2 linked regions of the Caenorhabditis elegans genome follow. The protein of the gene in region 1 interacts with the protein of each later gene in a pairwise test. Each region holds a gene or a part of one and is shown on either strand. Other genes may lie near its edges.

Region 1 (4,762 bases):
AGTGTTTGTTGTTTTGCGGCGGCCACCAGACACGTTCAAAACAACAAATCTTGTGAGTTTTATTGCTTTTTGAATTTCTTTTAAGACGTTTCTGAGCAGATTTTGGATGTTTTTCGAAGGGAAATAGAATATGGAAAAATATTTAAATATCTAATTTTAAAGTACACACGAGGCACAATATTCTGAATTCTATTACCGTTAATCCGTTTCAAAAGGTTTCCTTGGTAACCGAGAGAAGCGATGTAATTCTTGTGAAAAACAATGGCATAGCTTTTTAGACCATAAGGTATTTTTGAATATTTTTCTGGAGACCCTTGACCTCTCTAAATATTTATTTTCCCATTTCCTGCTCCATCATGAATCGAGTCCATCAAAGGAAAAGCCATTTGAAGCGTGAAGAAAGTCGCCGTGAGAGCGACCTTGTTGAGTGACGCCTGCTCCTTTCTTTTGCTCCACGACATTTCCTTTCATCGTGGTCCTTATTTCTTTCTAAAAGCGTGTATATAAACTCTTATTATGATGATTGACGTCCACCTCATGCACCCGAATCTATTTTTATGTTCAGTAGCAGCTCTTTTGAGCTCTCTGGGCGTTGCTTTTCAAAAGCTCAACGTGATTGGCACATTGCCAACATGTGAGACCTGCCGCCGACTTCCGCGCCCTTCATGATCCGCCACTAATCGGTGAGCAAGTACTCGTTGAAGTGAGCAGCAAGTTTATATTACTTATGGTATATACACACACGTCGCGCCTTTACCCTCACGCGGCATACGGCATACGGCAATGCTTATTTGTTCTTTGTCAAGCACTTCTTTTGCACATTTTGGCAGCAGCGCGCACGGAAGGCGCCGCGTTCTTTGCAATAACCAGACTGTGCTCTGGGAGCAGCAGATGATTTAGGGGAAAGATACGAGAAAAGAGAAACAGAAAGAGAGTAGTTTGCGTGCTCATTTCAACAAGCACTTCACCTCTGCCCTCGGGATACCTCAGATAATTTGTGTTTCTGAAGAAGCTAGTTCTTCTTTTTCTTCTTCTTTGTTCTCTGCTCTTTTCACCTCTGAAACCCCTTGAATGTCAATGTTTCTAAAACCATTGAAATTAGATATGTTTGGGTTTTGCCCCGTTTATGCGTTGAAACGAACAAACATTCTATGTATCTTATGTGAGACAAGAAAACAGATTTAGTTCTCTCCAGAGACTCTCCCATCAAAACACACACCTGTCTGTTTTTTTTATTAGCCAACCACTTCCCCATAAATTCTTGCCATGGACTTTTCAACAATAACAAAATTGTTTCCTCATATTTTTATTATTTTTTCTTTCTCTCAATATGTCTAGAGTTTGGGCGGCAATTCTATTATTCGGAAATGAATAAAATTTTGAAAATTTGAAATTTGACAATAGTTATCGGAAAAAAGTTCCGATTACCAGAGATCAAAATCCTCATATTTTTAATAAGTTTTGATCATTAATTTTTTTGAATCATTTTTCTAAAAAATTCGAATTGTCGATTATCGAATTGATTTAAAAAAAACGATTTCCGCCCACTTCGTAATGTTTCAAATATTCTACTTCTTCAATTTTCTTATTAATCTCTATTTCTCTTCGAACATCAAACTTATCATATTCCAAAACCCCATTTCCTTATTTCAAGAAATATCTCGTCGATCCTCCATCATCCACCTTCTTCCCCAGTCATCATAATCATCGGATGACCTACGCTGAATCGACTCGATCCGCCGTCGTCTACTCGTCGATTGTGCCTCCACCACGTACTCCAGTTGGTCCGCCGATGTTGAAAGATGGCGTGCGGAAAGGATCCGCATCGCAACCACTTCAACCAAAAAACGGTGCCAACAGTTTGGACTATTGGAGTAAATCGGAAGATGAAAAGTCTGGAATAACGTGTTACTACAGTCGTCATAATATTCAATTTCCACCACCACAGAGGAAAATGAAACCTGTAAAACCAAATCCTGTGGGAAGGTCAACAATAAATGGATTCACACCATCGACATCATCACCACAAAATGGTCTTAGATATCCACCATTTCCACAGAATACACCAGAATCTGTGATGAGTCCTCCAGTTGGAATCTACCGTAATATTCCCGCAATGCCACGTGCAAAACTTACAAAAGATGAGAAAAATGGAGGGAAAATGAATCGAGATGGTGGAGGAGAAAACCCAAAAAATGTAGTTTGGGGTGGAACATCAAGAAAAGATGATGATACGGCTAGTACACCGTTAAATTCATTTTCAGCCAATGGTGAGATAACCGGGAATGTGAAAAGTTAATTTAAAAATAAACTGAATTGTTTTTTTTTTTGTAATTAATATTTTGTATCAGTTTCAGCATCAATCGAGAAAAAGCGATCAACAGCGAGAAGGAAACCAAGATGGGCACGCTGTTTTCAGACACTTTTCTGTTGTGTGACTCCACCCAGAGAGATTGGTATGTGATTTTTCATTTTAAAATTATCAAAATTCTTTTAAAAATTTGGGGTTATTTAAGTTATGTAGAATGCTCCAAGAGTTCACTAAAAAAAATTTAATTAAAAAAATGAATTTTCAATTTCTGAAGAGAAAATGGATGTAGTCTGAAATGATCCAATTTGACTACAAAAATTTATCTTTTTTCGGGAGTTTTCCTTCAATTTTGCAAATTTTTTTTCAAATTTCTGAATTATTTGTTAAATTGCCACCAAAAACGGTTACTGTAACTCAATAAATTTTTTTAAATAACATTATTTGTAAAAAAAATTTCCTGGAATTTCTGTATGCTTTTCACACTTTCCTATAACAAAATAGACTGAAAAAATTTTAAAAAATTGTTTTGTTTATTTTAAGCGACAAATTTTTGAAATTCCAGAAAAATTTAATATAAAGACATGTTAAAAATTTTTTTTTGAAAATTTCCACAAGAAAAAGCTAAAGAAAAAAAGGAAATTTGGTCTTGTTACAGTAACCAGTTTGTGCGAAAATTTGAAAGTTTTGCAAAAAAAAAGACAAAATTTTAAACACTTTATAGGCATATTCGATAATTTTAGACTATCTTCTATTATTTAACAATTGAAAAATGTTCTTAATCATAGAAAAGTTCAAAATTTCGAGTAATTAATAACGCCGCTTTTATGTTTTCTAGAAAACGAAATGAGTGTTTTCATCTTCATTTTTTCTTTATTTCTCTTTCTCTTCAGTGGTAGTGTTCCAGTTATTACACCAAATCTTCCATCTCTTTCATTTTTATCCATCAAAAACTTCAATCATCAGTCGGAAACCACCCCACGCTTCTGATTTCCCATTCTTGTGTGCATTTCAATATTTCAAAAAAAAAACTCATAATTTCTCCTTTACCCCGAAATTCGCCAATATTTTCCGATTTACGAACGCGGCTATCAAACTTGTCGATAGACAGCAAAGTGAGTTGAACTTTTGCGAAAAAGGAAAAAAAGGCGAGGGCAGCTGGTTTTGATTTATTTGCAAATAATCTCCCCTCAGGCAATGTGTCATGCATAAATACGCAGCTCACGGTCGGAGGGAGTACCGCAACTTTTTGAACTTTCAATGTTTGCATATGAGAAATGAAGGAAAAAAATCTCGTTTAACATTTTAAAAGTAGCATTAAAAATTAGTATTAGGGATTTTGAAATACCAAAAACGGCTTTAAATTATCCAAGATATTCAGAAATTCAGAAATACCAAAAGAACAAATTTAGAACTTTCAAAAATAACGCATATAACGATAGAAAAATGTATTGATTTGTTAATGATTATTTAAAATTGTTTGTTTGGAAAGTTTCTCAGCGATTTTCTTTCTTCCGATTACTAGGTTTTCTTTACAGAAGAATTCCTGAAAAATGTCACTCGTTTGCGCGGGAATTTAAATTGAATTCTGCCGTATTTTTCATTTTTGCAAAATAGGAACAATCATTTCAAAAACAATACTTTGGAACTCTTCCCAGACAGAATCTGTCCTTGTCAAATCATCGATGTCAAAATTGACAACTTTGAAACAAAGAATATTATTTTCCCAGACATTTTCTTCCTCGCTGCTCATCAGAAAATATCATCATTTTCTTTCTTATCTCGAATTTCAACGAAAAAAGATGATCAGAACCCCCGCACAGTTGGATTTTCGGATCCTTTCGAAACATCTGGTGCCACTCGATTCCTGGCACAACGCCTTTCACAAAGAACTATGATTTATGAACATGAACTTTTTTTTAAAGTTTTGTGGGTGTAGAGATAAATAAAATTTAATGATTTTCCGATGAGCATGCATGAGGCAACTGCTCAGTGATCAGATATCACAAAAAATCATCTTAAGGGTGGAATACCGAAATCTGGGAATTATTTTTAATTGACTCCAAATTGCCCCTGAATAACGAATGTGTGAAAAAATTCAAAAAAATTATCTGATGTTATATTTGATTTATATTTTTTTCACATAAATATTCGGAATCAGGGGCAAATTTTGAGTCAATTAAAAATATTTCTTAGATTTCAGTACTCCACCTTTAACAACAATTACCGTAACCAAATTTCGGCAATTGAATGAAATTCTAACAAAATTGGAGAAAATATTCATAAATTTTCAGAAAAGATACAATCAAGCCAACGAACGAACAGTACAAACAACAATCATCAGAATGGAAGACCATCTACACCAACAAATACAGGACCACCCATTCAGCTTATCACACAGGTACATTGGTTTCTTCTGAAAATGCACAACATTGGAAAGAAATTGTGCATTTA
Region 2 (5,297 bases), on another chromosome or scaffold:
GGATTTAGGCTAGAGTTTAGTTTTTTTTTTTTTTTTTTTTAGTTCTTTAGTTTTTTTTTTACTTAACAGTTTTGTCTGAGGAAATATTTTTCTGAGTAGTGTGTGTTAGTCACCCCGATTTTGCATTTATTCCTAACAAATATATAATAGGCTGGGTTTTGAAATTCTATTTAAAAAAAAACTGGTCCTATAAAAACGGACGATGAAATTAATGAATTTTTTTTATTTTTAGCATGTTTTAAAGCTATTTTTCTCCATTGTTTGACCTTTTTTGCCAATTTGCCCATTTGCCGGAAATTTCAATTCCGACAAATTGTCGTTTTTCCGACAAATTTTAAATTCCGGCAATGTGCCGATTTGCCGGGATTTTTCATTTTTGGCAAGTTGCCGATTTTCCTAAAATTTCGGCAAATCGTCAATTCGCCGGTTCCCCGATTTGCCGGATATTTTCAATTTTTCCTTTTTTTTTTCAAAATTTGCAATTTGCCGATTTCCTGATTTGCCGGAAATTTCAATTATGGCAATTAGCCAATTTGACGGATATTTTTAATTCCGGCAATGTGCCGCTTAGCCGAAAATTCAAATACCGGCAATTTGCCGATTTGCCGGAAATTATTAATTCCGACAATTTGCCGATTTTCCTAAAATTTCGGCAAATCGGCAGTTTGCCGGTTCCCCTATTTGCCGGATTTTTTTTTTCAATTCCGGCAATTTCCCGATTTGCCGGAAATTTCAATTCCGACAATTTGCCGATTTTCCTAAAATTTCGGCAAATCGGCAGTTTGCCGGTTCCCCTATTTGCCGGATTTTTTTTTCAATTCCGGCAATTTGCCGATTTGCCGGAAAAATCGTTTGCCGCCCACCCCGGGTTCGGCCATTTCTAGCATATTTTTCTCCGTTGTTTGACCTTACAAATTAACTTTCCCGAATGTCAGAAATTTTATCACTATTTCCTATTTAATCAGTAATGCTTCTCCTATGTCTTCTTCCGTTTAGCTTATCAATTCTTCCTGTTTGTGAGCAACGTTTCTTTTTCACAAGTTTAATGGAAAAACGTTGGTCTTTGCCCCGTTCTTTTATCCTCGCTGTTCCCTTTATTTCTCTGCGGCTCTTGCGGAGTGCGATTTTTTTGACCTTCAATACTGCATGTGTCTGTTTGCTTTGTTTCGAGCGGCTATTCCGTAATTTTCATGAAATTGTAAAAAAAAATCTAGTAAAAAATCGTTTAAGAAATTAGAATCAGTTATTAATTTTTTTTTAATTTGAACTTTTAAAATTTATTCTATTACCCAGACACGAGATTTCGCGATTTTTGAGCCACAAATACCAAACACCGGTCTCAACACGACAAATTCTTGATAGAAAGGAAAAGGCGTTCGCCTTTAAAGCGTACTGTAATTTCAAACTTTTGTTGCTGCAGCGATTTCAAATTTCTATGGATTTTTCATAGTTTTATTTTTATATTTGAGAGTTTTTTTTGCTATATTCATGTTTTCCATAAATTAATACATTTTTTTTATCGAAAATGTGTTTATTAGTTATTGAAAACTAAAATCAATTAAAAAAGAAATTTTGAAACTACAGTACTCTTTAAAGGCGCACACTCCTTCTCAAGTACGCAAACACCACATTTTATGACAATTTCTGCAAAATTTATTTCGCTCCTTTTTTTTGAATTAAATTAAATTGTTTTTTTCCTTTCCTTTTCAATTAAAATGCATAATTTTTTTCTATTTTTTTAAAATAAAATATTAAAAATCAAAAATTCGTTTTTTTTTAAATTTTCAGTGTTCTCTCCACCGATTTTCTTCCGGTTTTTTGAATTTTTTAACGATTTTTTAACGATTTTTGTCTAAGTTCCAGGGTTATCATGCCAGAAACGGAGCTTCACGTGATATTCGACCAGCCTAACGAAGTTTTCTTCCCGGGACAACCGATTTCCGGCCGAGTGGTGCTCTCAACGACGAAGGAAAAATACAAGGCTCGGGCGGTGAATATCAAAATTTTGGGATTGGCTCACACCAGTTGGACGGATTATGAGAGTGTTCGCAGAGTGTAAGAAATTTAAGATTTCTGTAGAAAATTTCATTTTTTTTTTGACGAAAAAGCTATTTTTCAAATTTTTTAAAATGGAAAATTGAATAATCAATAAATATTTCCGAATTTTCGAATAACACTAAAAAATTATAAAATTCGAATTTTCCAGTGACGCCGACGGAAAAGTGAGCCACCACCGGCAATCTGTGCACTACTCTGCGAATGTGAACTACCTGGATTATACATTGCTTCTGTGGGCTTGCAAAGATGGATCGGTAGGGTATTTTGAATCAGGGATAGATAGGCAAACCGGCAAAATCGGCAAACCGGCAAATTGACAATCTGCCGCTTTCCAAATTTCCGGCAAAGATGGCATATTGCCGTTTTTCAAGTTTCCGGCTAATTCGGCATATTGTCGTTTTTTCATATTTACATCAAGTTCGGCAATTGCCGTTTTCCAAATTTTCGGCAAATTGCTGTTTTTTTTTTAAATTTCCGGCAAAGTCGGCAAATTGTCGTTGTTCGAATTTCCGGCAAAGTCAACAAATTGCCGTTTTTTCAAATTTCCGGCATATTCGGCAATTGCCGTTTTCCAAATTTTCTGCAAATTGCTGTTTTTTTTTTAAATTTCCGGCTAAGTCGGCAATATGCCGTTTTTTCAAATTTCCGGCAAAGTCAACAAACCGGCAATTTTCCGATTTGCTGAAATTTTCGGTAGCTCAAAATGAAGAATGGTTGAAAATTACAATTATTAGATATCTGAATATTTGTCAGAACGAGTTAGCAGCTGGAGAATACGCCTGGTCATTTTCTTATAATCTTCCTCTCAACGTTCCGCCAAGCTTTGAGGGAAAATATGGATATTTGAGATACTCGGTGACAGCTGAAGTGGATCGGCCATGGAGATTGGATAAGGCAAAGAAGCGATGCATCACTGGTAAGGGCTACAGTTTTAAGCCTAAGCCTGACAATCTAAGCCTGAACCTAAGCCTGAGCCTACGCAGCTGAAGCCTAAGCCTAAACCTAACAATCTAAACATAAGCCTAAGTCTAAGACTAATCCTAAGCAGGAGTGGCATTTTTCGATTTTTCGATGTTTTTTCAGTGAAAATTGAAAAATCGAAAAGAATGTTAAGAAAATTAACCATAAAATATGATTTTTTTTAAAATCTAATTTTGCTTATATTGATGAGAAAAAAACATCAAAATTAATTCTAAAAATAAGAATAATGGCCAAAATATTGTGCTAATATTTTGGAAAATCTAAAAAATTTTCGCAAAATCAGAAAAACGATAATTTTTTAAACATTTTTCGATTTTCAAAAAAATCGAAAAACGAACACCCTTGATCCTAAGCCTAAGCATAGGCCTAAGCCTAAATCTAGACCACTGTCTAAGCCTAAGCCTAAGCCAAAGCATAAGCCTAGGCCTAAGCCGAAGCTTACGCCTAAGCCTAAGCCTAACGGTCTAAGTCTAAGACTAACATTCTAAGCCTAAGCCTAAGCCAAAAATTCAAACATTTTCAGTTTCCCCACTGATCGACCTCAATGTGATCCCCCATGCACTCACCCAAATCAACGACCAGGCTAGCGAGAACCTTGGCTGTTGCTGCTTCAAAAAAGGATATCTCGAACTTCGTGTAAACATCCCGAAAACTGGATTCGTACCCGGCGAGACTGTTCCCATGAACATCCATATTCTAAATCACTCCTCCGTTCCCGTCACCGAAGTCAAGGCGAAAATTATTCAGCAGTGCAAGTTCATTGCATATCGAAACGGTACCACCTTCCATTATGGCGGAGGCTATGAGACTGGAATGTCCGGACAGCTTCAGGAAACCAAACACGACACGAAGACCGTCGTCAAGCATGGCCAGGAAATGACAGTGGCTCCCAGGAATGAGCACAAATTTGCGATGGAGCTCCGTCTTCCGTCTGTAACTCCAACCATCAATCAGTTCTCACCGGTGATTACTGTAGAGTACATTGTGCAATTCCACGTGGAGACCAGCTCAACATTCGGGAGTGATGTTGATTGTGAAATGGGGATCCTGATTGGAACAGTGCCTATTCGGCAGTTCCTTCCACCAGCCTACTATCCACAGGATCCGAATCTTCCACAGATCCTGCCAACTCCGATTGGAGGAGGGGTTGTTGCTCCACCACCAGGGTATGGATTCTTGCCGATGGCAGATGGCTCGGAGAAGGGAGCTGGTGATGCATCATATCCAGCTGCCAGCATGCCAATGTATCCTATTCCGAATGTCCCATATCCTAGCAAAGATGATGGTACTGTAGTGATTCCAAGTGGTGAGTTACTCAGAAGTCCAGCACAATTCTCTAAAATTGCAAATTTTTCCAGCTCCACCACTATCCTACGAAGAATCAATGTTTGGACAAGATGGAACCGAGCTCAACACTGATGAAAATGAGCAACCATTTGCTCCAAAATACCCGGTTTTCAACAATTTGCCAGTTTATAATCCGACAGCGCCACCACCGGAATAATCCGAAGAATGAAGGATTTTCATCGGACTCTGCCCTGCTTTGCCGAATATTGTTCAAAATTATCATTGCTTTTAAAATGTTTTTTTGCCTGGTTGGATGTGTTTTTGTTTTATTTTAATGCATAAATTATTAAACTTCAATCGAATACTTGACATTGAGCAAAAAATGACTAATTGCCGGAATTGAAATTTCCGGCGAATCGGCAAATTGCCGGAATTGAAAATTTCTGGAAAATCGGCAAATTGCCGGAATTGAAAATTTCTGGCATATCGACAATTTGCCGGAATTGAAAATTTCTGGAAAATCAACAAATTGCCGGAATTGAAAATTTCTGGAAAATTAACAAATTGCCGGAATTGAAAATTTCTGGAAAATCAACAAATTGCCGGAATTGAAAATTTTTGGAAAATTAACAAATTGCCGGAATTGAAAATTTCTGGAAAATCAACAAATTGCCGGAATTGAAAATTTCTGGAAAATTAACAAATTGCCGGAATTGATAATTTCTGGCAAATCGGAAAACTGCCGGAATTGACAATATCCGGCAAGCGGCAAATTGCCGGAATTGAAATTTCCGGCGAATCGGCAAATTGCCGGAATTGAAAATTTCTGGAAAATGGGTAAATTGCCGGAATTGAAAATTTCTGGAAAATGGGTAAATTGCCGGAATTGAAAATTTCTGGAAAATCAACAAATTGCCGGAATTGAAAATTTCTGGCATATCGACAATTTGCCGGAATTGAAAATTTCTGGA

The links.
Region 2: the proteins of scpl-1 (region 1) and arrd-13 interact in a two-hybrid assay, tested with the Caenorhabditis elegans proteins (one large-scale study listed by BioGRID).

What each region holds. Positions count from the first base shown.
Region 1 is NC_003279.8:10,091,373-10,096,134, reverse strand, and holds the start of scpl-1 (CTD small phosphatase-like protein 1), read left to right. Parts: upstream 1-1,654; 5' UTR 1,655-1,711; coding exon 1,712-2,270; intron 2,271-2,357; coding exon 2,358-2,456; intron 2,457-3,356; exon of another isoform or gene 3,357-3,473; intron 3,474-4,602; coding exon 4,603-4,709; intron 4,710-4,762. UniProt on the Caenorhabditis elegans protein: Phosphatase which may play a role in the egg laying muscles.
Region 2 is NC_003280.10:13,756,551-13,761,847, forward strand, and holds arrd-13 (Arrestin C-terminal-like domain-containing protein), read left to right. Parts: upstream 1-1,857; 5' UTR 1,858-1,870; coding exon 1,871-2,055; intron 2,056-2,206; coding exon 2,207-2,312; intron 2,313-2,811; coding exon 2,812-2,974; intron 2,975-3,562; coding exon 3,563-4,345; intron 4,346-4,397; coding exon 4,398-4,543; 3' UTR 4,544-4,685; downstream 4,686-5,297.